Lytechinus pictus: one gene and its partners. The protein of the gene in region 3 purifies or fractionates together with the protein of the main gene of each other region. This does not show direct contact. Links are inferred from orthologs where the notes say so. Each region holds a gene or a part of one and is shown on either strand. Other genes may lie near its edges. The genes, in order: cullin-2-like, DNA damage-binding protein 2-like and COP9 signalosome complex subunit 6-like.

Region 1 (3,600 bases), on a different chromosome or scaffold from region 3:
AAATAATAATGAACCTGAAGTTTCAACATAAATCTTTTTATAACAGCCTATGGCTGTATTGTTGTATGTTTTGTTCGTTTACTTTCAAGTGTATTTGTGATGCCTTTTCGTTTCAATGTCACATAATTGTTGAGAAGTGTGATATGATGTCCCGGAAAGACTTTCTTATGTCCCCTCCACTAATTGAAAAAGTACTTCTCCAAACGCCCTTCTTTCGTTATCTTTTTCTTATTTTTTTCCTTCTTACTTCCGGTTGGATTCTTGGATTTGAACCTCTTGCTGCAGCACATGGCATCTCCAGTCTGTCGCCTTACTCACTGAGCTAGCAGGAATTGTTGAAAGCCATGGGTTTCATAACGGTTGTCAACCGATATATCCAATAGTATTGGGTATTCACTTTTCTGACTAAATAAACCAATGCCATTGGAAATTACACACTCAAGATTTTGACGGAATAAAGCCTTTTTTTGGTATGTATCCAACTTTACCTTCCTAAATCTCTTAGATATGTGTTAGATAATTCTTGATAAACCTTCTCCATATTTTTTTTTTCAATTTTAGTGGAGGGGACATATGGAAGCCTTGCCGATGTCCCTGGGGGTATCCTTTAGGTTTGGCCTTGGGGCAAGGCGTTCATGTGGATGAGTTACTCATCGTGAACACTCCTAGTACGGTAGTGTTCTCCTCCATTTGACATGATTACACCGTGAGCGCACACTCACCGAAACACACAAGAAGACTAATTTTCATGATAATGACAACTGGTTGCCTACTTTCACCTTGATTCATCTAACTAATAGTTTCTAACACAATTTCACAACATGACAATAAAATTGTGCTTTTAGGTTAAGTTACATTGCATCGCCACTGGGTGATTTCAAGTACGGTGTTGAAATCTGGTGTTGGTGTTGTGAAAACATCAACACCAGCCACAACACCGTACTTGAAATATCACGCAGGTGTTGGGATTGACCTCAGAAAATATGATGTATTTCCGGCAGTTCGTGTTGAATTTCGTCTGCTGAACTGAACATTACAGCTGGTGTTGACGATCTACATGTAATTTCCCCATTCACCAACACCAACCCCCAGGGATTGGGAAAATCGTGATTTCAAATTCGGTGTTGATGAACTGTAGCTCATGAACAGGCGGTGAACACAATGAAACATCCCTGTAAAATTATCTTTTACAGTTAAGATGAAAATGATATTTACGCTTTCCGATTCTTGCAGTAATTTTAATCTTTGCATTCTGTACAATAAGATTTTATTGCAATTTCTCCCTGATTTCACTTCCGCCGTCGAGAATTTCTCGCGTGAAGTTGAGATGATCAGCAGCGCAGGGCAGAGGCGTGACATCTTACTAGCTATCGATAACACGATCGGTATCGCTCCTCTGAACCCAGATCGGTGTTGGAGCTCGGTTTAGCAGCCTTTTCACGCTTAACACCAACACCGAAACTGAACACCGTAGATCTAAGTTACTAAATAACAGTTATGGTTGGAACTACCCCTTATTGACCACCTAATCTTCTAAGCATCATATCTGCGAAAATATTCATCAATTTTACCCAGTTTTCGTCTCATTTGTGCAGAAAATTGAGCAGATCAAATTCCCATGTTTCGCTCGGCGACTCCGATTCAATCCGCGTATATATCGACGAACAACGAATACGACGATTTTGCATTTGCTCATTTGCACCCGTCTTTTGAAACCGACCACCCGCGATACACTAAGTTTACGGCCGATTCTTGTCGCGGTGGCGAAATATTTTTATTCTTCCAAATCAGTTCTATGATGTCAACATGCTAAATGATTGTCTCACTACTTCCACTGCGAGCTCCGGCACATGATTCGATGATTGACGACGGATATTTGTTCTAAAGCCGTTTCCTATCGGATTTCTTGGTTTTTCAGCGGGGTTTGGGTCTGGTCAATACAATTTTGATTAATTCTAGGCCTACTAAATTTTAACTTTTTGTTGCTTCTTTTTCTCTCGTAAAATCGATTCTTACCGTTTCCATGGACACTGCGCCTACTCTCCCGCGCGTATCGTTTGTAATACGCAATAATTTTAACGCGCGCAAGGTGGTCGGTTTCAAAAGAGGTGGTCGATATGTGGTAGTCTCACCATACTTGAATTTTGAAATCACCCACTGTCAATGACAATGTCATTGACATTCACATTGACGAGCAGACGAGTGGTTCCAAACACCACAACATGATTTTGAATCATTTTGTAAATAATCTGTGATAAGTGTAAGGCTGCTTTTTTCTGTTGTGTTTATGATATCAGATTTTCTAGATATTAACTGAATGTTTAGACAACCGGCCGCAAATCGCGCAATTGACGAAAACCTGCCATTGCCATATTTAAGGGAGTTGGCCCAGCGCAGATCCTTACGAGAGGGACTGAAGTGAAGAAAGCAAAAGCAAAGTTGACGCCTTGACAATTTCCAGAACATTCAGAAGTGCAGTTTCTCACCTTCAAAGAAGACCTTTCCTCTGTCTTTCCTATGCCCTACTGTGTTACTCAGTATTTGTGATCAAAAGCTTATTAAAGGTGAATGATGATGTCACTGCCGGAGTAGAGTCAGCCAACAATAAGCTAGCCAACAGCAAGCCAGCCAACAGTTCCAGCCAACAATATCGCGATGTAAGATAGATCAGATACAGGATTTTGCGCACGAAGAGAAGCGTGCATTCTTGTACACAAATCAAACAAACGGGGTCAGGTGGGGTTTCCCTTCTTTCAATTTGTAAAGAAACACAACGGGCTAGTGCTTTAATTTTAGTAGCCCACACCCCTATATACTCTATGTTTTTTCGTATATTGAGGAGTAAATTTCAACAAAAAGTCCTCTTTATAAAATACAATTGGAAGATTGCTCCTGAAATATATTTTGGGTGTGTGTAGGGGGGTTTCCCTTCTTTCAATTCGTAAAGAAAAACAACGGGCTAGTGCTTTAGTTTTAGTAGCCCACACCCCTATATACTCTATGTTTTTTCGTATATTGAGGAGTAAATTTCAACAAAAAGTCCTCTTTATAAAATACAACTGGAAGATTAATTGCTCCTGAAATATATTTTGGGTGTGTGTAGGGGGGTTTCCCTTCTTTCAATTTGTAAAGAAAAACAACGGGCTAGTGCTTTAGTTTTAGTAGCCCACACCCCTATATACTCTAGGGTTTTTCGTATATTGAGGAGTAAATTTGAACTAAAAGTCCTCTTTATTAAATACAATTGGAAGATTGCTCCTGAAATATATTTTGGGTGTGTGGAGGGGGGTTTCCCTTCTTTCAATTTGTAAAGAAAAACAGGGGGCTAGTGCCTTAGTTTTTGTAGCCCACACTCATATACATTCGTATATATATATTCCACGTTTTTATATATATTGAGGAGTAAATTTGAACTAAAAGTCCTCTTTATAAAATACAATTGGAAGATTGCTCCTGAAATATATTTTGGGTGTGTGTAGGGGGGTTTCCCTTCTTTCAATTCGTAAAGAAAAACAACGGGCTAGTGCTTTAGTTTTAGTAGCCCACACCCCTATATACTCTAGGTTTTTTCGTATATTGAGGAGTAAATTTGAACTAAAA
Region 2 (3,961 bases), on a different chromosome or scaffold from region 3:
TCATAATTTGGTTGAACAAAATGTTTTCTGTTAAAGTATAAAACAGAAGAGGAACATATCCTTCACGTATTTTTATATCCAAAATATGTTGCCTTAGTATGGAATAATCACAATGACATAAAATGAAAATGGGTAAAGTACCTTCCTAATGATCATTGAGATTTCGCCTATGGAATCATTGTTTAATAATTTTCAAAGCTTTAAATAGATGAAAATGTTCATTGAGAAAATATACATATATATATATATGAACAAAATGATAATGTCCCGATTGTTTCGCATTACGTGTGTTAGATTGCGGGCGTTTGTGTGTGTGTGTAGGAAGCAAGATATTCGTGTTAATGTTTGCACAAAAAAGGAGAGGGAAAGGGAAAGGAAAAGGGGAGGGGGAAAGGTAGAGGAGAGAGAGGGAAAAGGAGACCATAAAATAGAAAGAAAACAAAGGAAAGGAAGAGGGGAAGGGAGAGAGAAAGAAAAATGGAAATAGCGAGAAAAGAGTAGGGGAGGGAGAAAGGAAAGAAAAGAAGGGAAAGGAAAAAGGGAGAAAGGGAATGGAGGGGGCGGGAAAGGAAAGGAGAGACAATAAAAGACAGATCAGGGGAGGGGGAAAAGTAGAGGAGAGAGAGGGAAAAGGAGGCCATAAAATATATATAGGTCTCCTCATCATGGTTATAAAAAGTGCTCAGAATGTTTTATTTTCAAGTCCTTGTATCAGAATTTTCAGCTCGGGCAGCTCTATCGCATTTTGATTACTATCCTGTTGATTTATTTACTTGAACAAAATATTTAAAATGTCCAGCTTTTAGAACAGATATCAAAAAAAGGTATTCACCTTTGATCATAGATGAGGAAGAAGAAAAAAGTGCAAAAAAATAGGAAACAAACTAACGAATTAATGGGACATAATTTTTCTTCATTTCAAGGCGACTCTTGACTTTACATTTCATCATCGCTGATGGCGCTACAAATAATAGAAAATACCGCTTGACAGCAAAAAAAAAAAACAGAAAGAGGAAAATAATGCTGAGCGTCTAAAATGCAGCTAGCAGTACAACCTGCAGAACCGTAAACAAACATCTTGTGAATAATATCGCGCGCCCTCTTTAAGCAAAAGTTTACAACCACAATGACCCTGCGGTATCTACGTGAAGATCACGAGAAAATGCTTTTTTTTTCTTAAAAACACACCAAAGAGAAGACAAGAAACGATCCATATGGTTCGGTAAGTGTCATAGCACAATTAGAAACATTATTTTAAAAGAAATGGCATAGTTATTTTAGTAAAAAGGGTGTGAAAAATTCGCGTGCACCATGTGCATATGAATCCTTCGCACGCGAGATGCATTGATCCCATGAGTGGGATATATCTAGGCTATATACCATTGAATTAGTATATAGCTATAGGTCTTGACATCGTTGTGTTGGCTGACCAACGATTGGGTAGTGAGCAGTGTCGGGGTATTCTGCAGTTAAGCCCAAATATTTGTCATTGATTGACCGTACACGTCTTCTTTTTGTAATTGTATCAACAAACAACAAGTATAAATTGATTTGACTTTGTCAAAATTGATATATCCCTTCAATCATCATTCAATGTAAATTAGCTCCTGAATTTTGCAACTGATTCCAAATATTTTACTGTAACATCCCCTAAGATGTTATTCCAGGCTTCGTTGAGAGTAAGCATACGTTAGTAAATTATTTTTACTCTCTAGAAGCCTCCTGGCTAGTCATGCCATGGTTGTCGTATTGTTTCTCCCTCCCGATCCCGGCTCCCTGGAGCGACACCGCGCGCCGCGATCCACTCACCACAGTTCTGCTTCTGGCTCTGCTGCTGGATCTGGATCGAGTTTTGGAAACTTTTTCTTTCGGGAGTTTCGCGACATCTCCGACAGTTGTCACAATGCATCCCTTAGATCCATCTTTCTTTTTCCTTGACATAGACGGTGCCATTTTAAGCGATTCAGGGATCACAAATTTCATCAAAATCTAGCTTCGCCTCTGACACATCTCAGTGCGGTGGCAGTACATTTGAAGTACGTCCACGTGCTTATATTTCATAAGCTCATGTCAGCTGTTTGATGTTTACAAAATAGGACTTGCGTAACATTTTTCCCGCGATATGGTCCATATCGAGAAGTGGAACTGTCTCCAATGAATTTTTATATGCAATAATGTTTTGATGCACTATGATAAATTAAATATTTATATATTAAAAAGTAATAATTTGTTTATTTCATTTACAGTTAAAGTGTTAAATATTGTTAAAAGTTTTTATCGTCTTTACAAACTCGGCAAATGGGTACGTGCAAGAAAACCGGAAGTAAATCAGACTGACCTGGGAGTTCCATCCAGGTCAAGGTGTACAGTGCATGCAGGACAGAACTTGATTGCAGTTCCTCTTCGAATACCCACCTCTTTTACTCACCTGTACGACTGTATTTCATCTCAAAAGACAAAATGGCAAGTGGAAGGCGTTTCTTTGTTGGTGGAAACCACAAGATGAATGGAAACAAGGCGTCGATCGATGGAAATTTGAAAATATTGGAAGAAGCACAGATTCCTGGAAACACCGGTAATATATTGTCGAGCTGCGCTGAGCGGCCGCGGGCACGGCCATTGCCACTGTCACTGACTGTCTGGCACTGGCACTCTGGCAGTGACACTGACAATGCTGAACATGGTGTAAAAAATGCCCATGTAATGATAATTAATGTTGTCGGTCGGGGGGGGGTTGTAACTTGTATATTTCATGCTTTTTGGAATTGGTCACCAAAACGAAGTTGCATTTTCTTTCAATATTTAGGCCCCTATTTGTGAAATAGAAAAAAGTTTGCTTTAATTTTTCAGAAGAATCAAGACAATTTGTCATGTTTGTCAATTATCATGCAAAATGTTTTACTTTTTTCATTTTTCAATCTCTTTTTATTTTAGAAGAAATAATTAAAAGAATCAAATTTACTTAAGAGCCAAGTTATAATAATAATATGATTAGCTGTAATGGACTCTGACAGTGTCACACAATCAAGCAATTATTCCAGAGAAAAGAGAACATTGCCAACCTTATTTTGGCACACATGGGCACACATCCTCTACTTTGAATGCCCTCTACCAAGGTGCTTCAAGCCGTGTCACCTGGAAAGGTTCTGTCAGTTCCTTCATCCCACTAAACAAGGGTGTCAGACAAGGAGGAATACTCTCTCCCACGCTGTACAACGTATTCGTTGATGGCCTCGTCAAGACTCTCCGGGACAAGGGGCTTGGCTGCACCTTCCAGAATAGATACGCAGGTGTAATTATCCTTGCTGATGATGTTGCCCTTCTTGCAAGTTCTCCCACTGAACTTCAGCAAATGCTGAATGTCACAGATGAATATGCCACTCATTGGGAAAACTCTATCAATCCCTCAAAAAGTGCCATCCTCATCTTCAAGTCAAAGCGCAGCATCCACCCATCCTTCCAATTCTTCATTGACGGTGACAGAATCAGAGAGGTCTCTCATCATCCCCACCTTGGCATCACCAAATCAACCATCGCGTATGACCACACTCAACACATAATCACCAAGGGATACAACACCCTCTTTGCCATCATCGGTAGCAACAGCAGCAATAACCTCTTCCTCCCCCACACCCTTGCGAAGCTCTGGAAAACTTTCTGCCTACCCCGAATGACCTATGGCTCACAGCTCCTGTGTTTCACTCAAACCTCACTCAAACACTCCCTTTTCAAGAAACTCTTGGGTCTACCGAGATCTGCCCCCAATATCTCTATCTTCCTGTTAACTGACCTACTTCACCTCTCCCGCGAGATTGAACTAAACACTTTCCTTCTGATAGGACAGCTCTTCAACATTGACCATATTAGATTTGAATTTTGCTCATTCCTCCATGCCCTCTCCATCAAGACTCCTACTATCATCTATTGGAATAAACTGCTCTCTAAGTACAACCTTCCCTCA
Region 3 (3,600 bases):
TTATTCTTAATTTGTCACAAAATTGCACTGAGGTGGTGAATCAGACAAGATTCTGATCATTTTTAATATATTTTGATGAAAATGTTTGTATTAACAGTCAAAATCAATCTGAATTTTGGGGTTTAATACAATAGGTTCCTGCACTGGCTGCAGACATATCAGAGTGGAAACAATGACTTTGGTCTATGGAGGAGGAATAGTGAACCAAGACATATTCCACCACCCAACAAAACAGAGACTTCAAAATTTTCAGTCTATTGAATACCAAGGTCCAAGGTTAGATTCCCCTTAATCTAAAGTAACAATGTTGAAAAAGTATGGTTTCATTTCATTATAACGTTCATGTTTAAAATAGACTACAAAAAATTAATCCCAGGAAATCAAATGAAGAATAAAGCTTTCACCTCCTTCTCCCTACCTTTCAACTTGTTAATTTTACAAGCAACGTCAAGATCAATCTTTTAGGTTAATAAGGTTTATCGCGAATCAGCAAATATCAACAGAGGTCGCTGCACCGCAAAGCATGATGGGATCAAAAAGGGGGCAGAGACACAACCAAAAACAGCCCAATGATCACCACCGGTCACCTGGCATGATGAAAATTCTTGAAATTGTGAAAATAAGGATTACGTTACTCCCAGCCGCAAGTCGAAATGTGATTGTGAACAGTCGTCTGAATAGCAGCTAGCTTGCCCCCTTTTCAATCCCATGATGCATTGCAGTTCTGATTAGCAATATATGGTAACTAATCATAATTATATTGCACCTCGCTATATGACAGGTAAGACTAGTCTAACGCCGAGGACATTGATGCGGGAATTAAGCAACTAACTCGGAAACGACCTGGCGCAGATAATCTACCAGATTGAAGAGCGCCAACTTAACTCCAACACCAACCAACCAACCAATATACCTTGTTCTTATATTTGTTTTCAGTTGACTTCTTGGAGGTTGGAGTCGGACTCCTCATCATAAATTATATCATGCCATTCCCATTCATTTTCTTTTTTCATCTCATTCAATCATGTCATTTTACAATTACAATAAACGTTTTTCCCCATCTTATTTCTTGCCTCTTGTTTATTTTGCATGCTCATTTTGCTTCCACATCTGTTTCTTTAAAAAAAATGCAAACTGTTTTTTTTTTTTTAGATCTAGCCTAGCCTAAACCAAACGAACCCCTAAAAAGCCCCGGCCAAAGCCAAGGCAAAGCCGGGATTGCACGGGGGACCTCTGGCCAAATCAAATGTTAAGACTGCGACTACAGCTACACTCACACATTTTGTAACGTCACCATTAAACAACGGGCATTCTTCAAGCGGTGCGCTCGTAGGATCTGCCATCTTTGTTGAAAATATCACAAACAAATAACTTATAGATCCACTCCCTCGATTTTTAGCTCAACTTGAATGGAAAAATTCATGAAACAAACTCCGAAAGACGAAAATAATGTCTGACTCATTTTTCCACCGCACTCAAATTCTGATCCGATCCTGTGAATGAAAATTATGGTAAGCCACGCCCATATTCGTTACGTAATCAAGTCAAAGACTACATCAAGTTCAAGATGGCGTCGGAAATGGAAATCGAAGGGAGTTCATCCTCTTCACAGTCAGCTGTTATGGCTTCTGGAGGGACAGGAAGCGTGGCAGTTGCTCTTCATCCCCTGGTTGTCATGAATATTTCAGAACATTGGACTAGAATCCGTGCACAAGAAGGAAAACCTACCCAGGGTAAGACAGTTTTGTAATTGTATTTGTACTCTACATTGTCCCACGCATTGTATATCATGTGTGTTCACAAAGACGTGTGAGTGACTGTGAATGTGACAATGTCAATGATGCTGTGTCTGTGATTGTGTGAGTGTAACAAGGTTGGCTGAAGTTGGCTCCCGGCGCTAGTGTAGTTTCGCACCTCCCCGTTTAATGGTTTTCAAACATGTACAATCTCACCCTAAATAATTCACAACCTAAAATACTTGCATCTGAGCCTCCAAAGTCCAGTAGAAGTTGAATATTTGCCGTTTTGACACTTTTTTACAAAGTTTTACAAATTACACCTATTTCGGAAACACTCGGTCTCGGTTTAGAGCCTTGTTTTGAACTCTAGGTCTAGAGTTCAAAACAAGGCTCTACATTATTATTTCTTATTTCATCGCTAAATCTACGTGTATTCACATTTTTTACATTTCTTATTTCATTCAAACAAGCACACACACGCACACCCCACACACACCTTCACACAACAAACATCAACCACTCTGCACAACCACTACCGTAATACTTGGTGCAAGCTGAAAGAGGGGAAAAAATCTTTTTGAAGATACCATAGAAAAACTCGCTCTTCTTGCACTTCACTAGTTGGTACGTACTGTACGCGTACCGACTGCTTATGTGCAGCGCTGAGCTTCAAGCGACCGAGTGATTCCGAAATAGTTGTAAAACTTTGTAAAAAAAAGTGTCAAAACGGCAAATATTCAACTTCTACTGGACTTTGGAGGCTCAGATGCAAGTATTTTAGGTTGTGAATTATTTAGGGTGAGATTGTACATGTTTGAAAACCATTAAACGGGGAGGTGCAAAACTACACTAGCGCCTGGCTCCCCTGTCTGTGTCAAGATATAAACATGTGAATATGATATGTTTTTACTAATATTGAAATCTGACTTTTCTTCGAAAAATGCTACAAAATTAGACCAAACAAATAGTCAAAAGTTTTTTTTAATTTAAGAACGGAAAGAACTGCAAAAGTGCAAGAAGAATTTTAATTCTAAAAAGAAAAACTGGTTATTCCATCAAAGTCAAAAGTTAGTGATTAGTCACTGATTTTAAAGAACAGTTCTTATTGGTTCTTAGTAAGTAGTACTAGTATGAGCAAAATGCGCATGCAACGATGATCTTGATAGGCCATTTCATAATTGCTAGATAAACTTTGTGTTGCAGGGGCCCAGACCATTTGACTTTTTTTGTCATAGAAAGCCGTTATGCAATGTCATTGGGCCAACAGCTTGCCAGGACAATCAAAACACCTCACAGTTTCAATTGCCTTGCTGGTAATTGGCTCAACGATTTTGCAATGTATTCCATTTTATCATGTGCATTGTTGGTTCAGACAACAAGGACAAAGCTCTGGAATTCAACAATTCAATGTTCAATTCTTGTTGTTTTGTGCAGAATTGATGTCTTTTAGAAGGTGTTGCAAAAAAAATATTTGAAATCAATTGCAAAGTGACCGATAAATTCTACCTAAAATAAATCAATTTATAATTTGTTTATCAATGCAAGGAGCAGACCATCAATCAATTGCAAATTTGCAATGAAATGCATGACTTTCAAGTGACTTTGGGACCTGATATTGACTTGCAGATCCAGGATTTTCCAAAGGGGGGGGGGCACATTTTCCCGAGGAAAAATTTGACAAGCAAACAAAAAAGAAGGTTTTTAACCAAAAATTAGGCACATCTTGTCCACGAAAAAGTTTGACAAGGAAAAAAAAGTGTTCACTTTCAAAGGGGCGAGATTTGCCCCCCCCCCCCCCGGATCCGCCAGTGATTAGCCCTATATTTTGTGTTCTGCTTTCTTCTTTACACCATTCCTTCTG

Evidence for each region.
Region 1: the proteins of COP9 signalosome complex subunit 6-like (region 3) and cullin-2-like purify together in Homo sapiens (affinity purification with mass spectrometry; 5 studies listed by BioGRID and IntAct, counting the BioPlex papers as one, with this or other methods). This does not show direct contact. The link is inferred for Lytechinus pictus from reciprocal best matches to the Homo sapiens genes COPS6 and CUL2.
Region 2: the proteins of COP9 signalosome complex subunit 6-like (region 3) and DNA damage-binding protein 2-like purify together in Homo sapiens (affinity purification with mass spectrometry; 8 studies listed by BioGRID and IntAct, counting the BioPlex papers as one, with this or other methods). This does not show direct contact. The link is inferred for Lytechinus pictus from reciprocal best matches to the Homo sapiens genes COPS6 and DDB2.

Annotation. Positions count from the first base shown.
Region 1 is NC_087257.1:3,627,495-3,631,094, reverse strand, and holds the start of cullin-2-like, read right to left. Parts: upstream 2,665-3,600; 5' UTR 2,487-2,664; intron 1-2,486.
Region 2 is NC_087258.1:23,628,691-23,632,651, forward strand, and holds the start of DNA damage-binding protein 2-like, read right to left. Parts: upstream 2,331-3,961; 5' UTR 1,984-2,330; coding exon 1,810-1,983; intron 1-1,809.
Region 3 is NC_087260.1:11,647,376-11,650,975, forward strand, and holds the start of COP9 signalosome complex subunit 6-like, read left to right. Parts: upstream 1-1,251; 5' UTR 1,252-1,277; coding exon of another isoform or gene 1,278-1,343; 5' UTR 1,344-1,567; coding exon 1,568-1,733; intron 1,734-3,600. Other genes in the region: cyclic AMP receptor-like protein A, read right to left, coding at 1,278-1,343. UniProt on the Homo sapiens protein: Component of the COP9 signalosome complex (CSN), a complex involved in various cellular and developmental processes.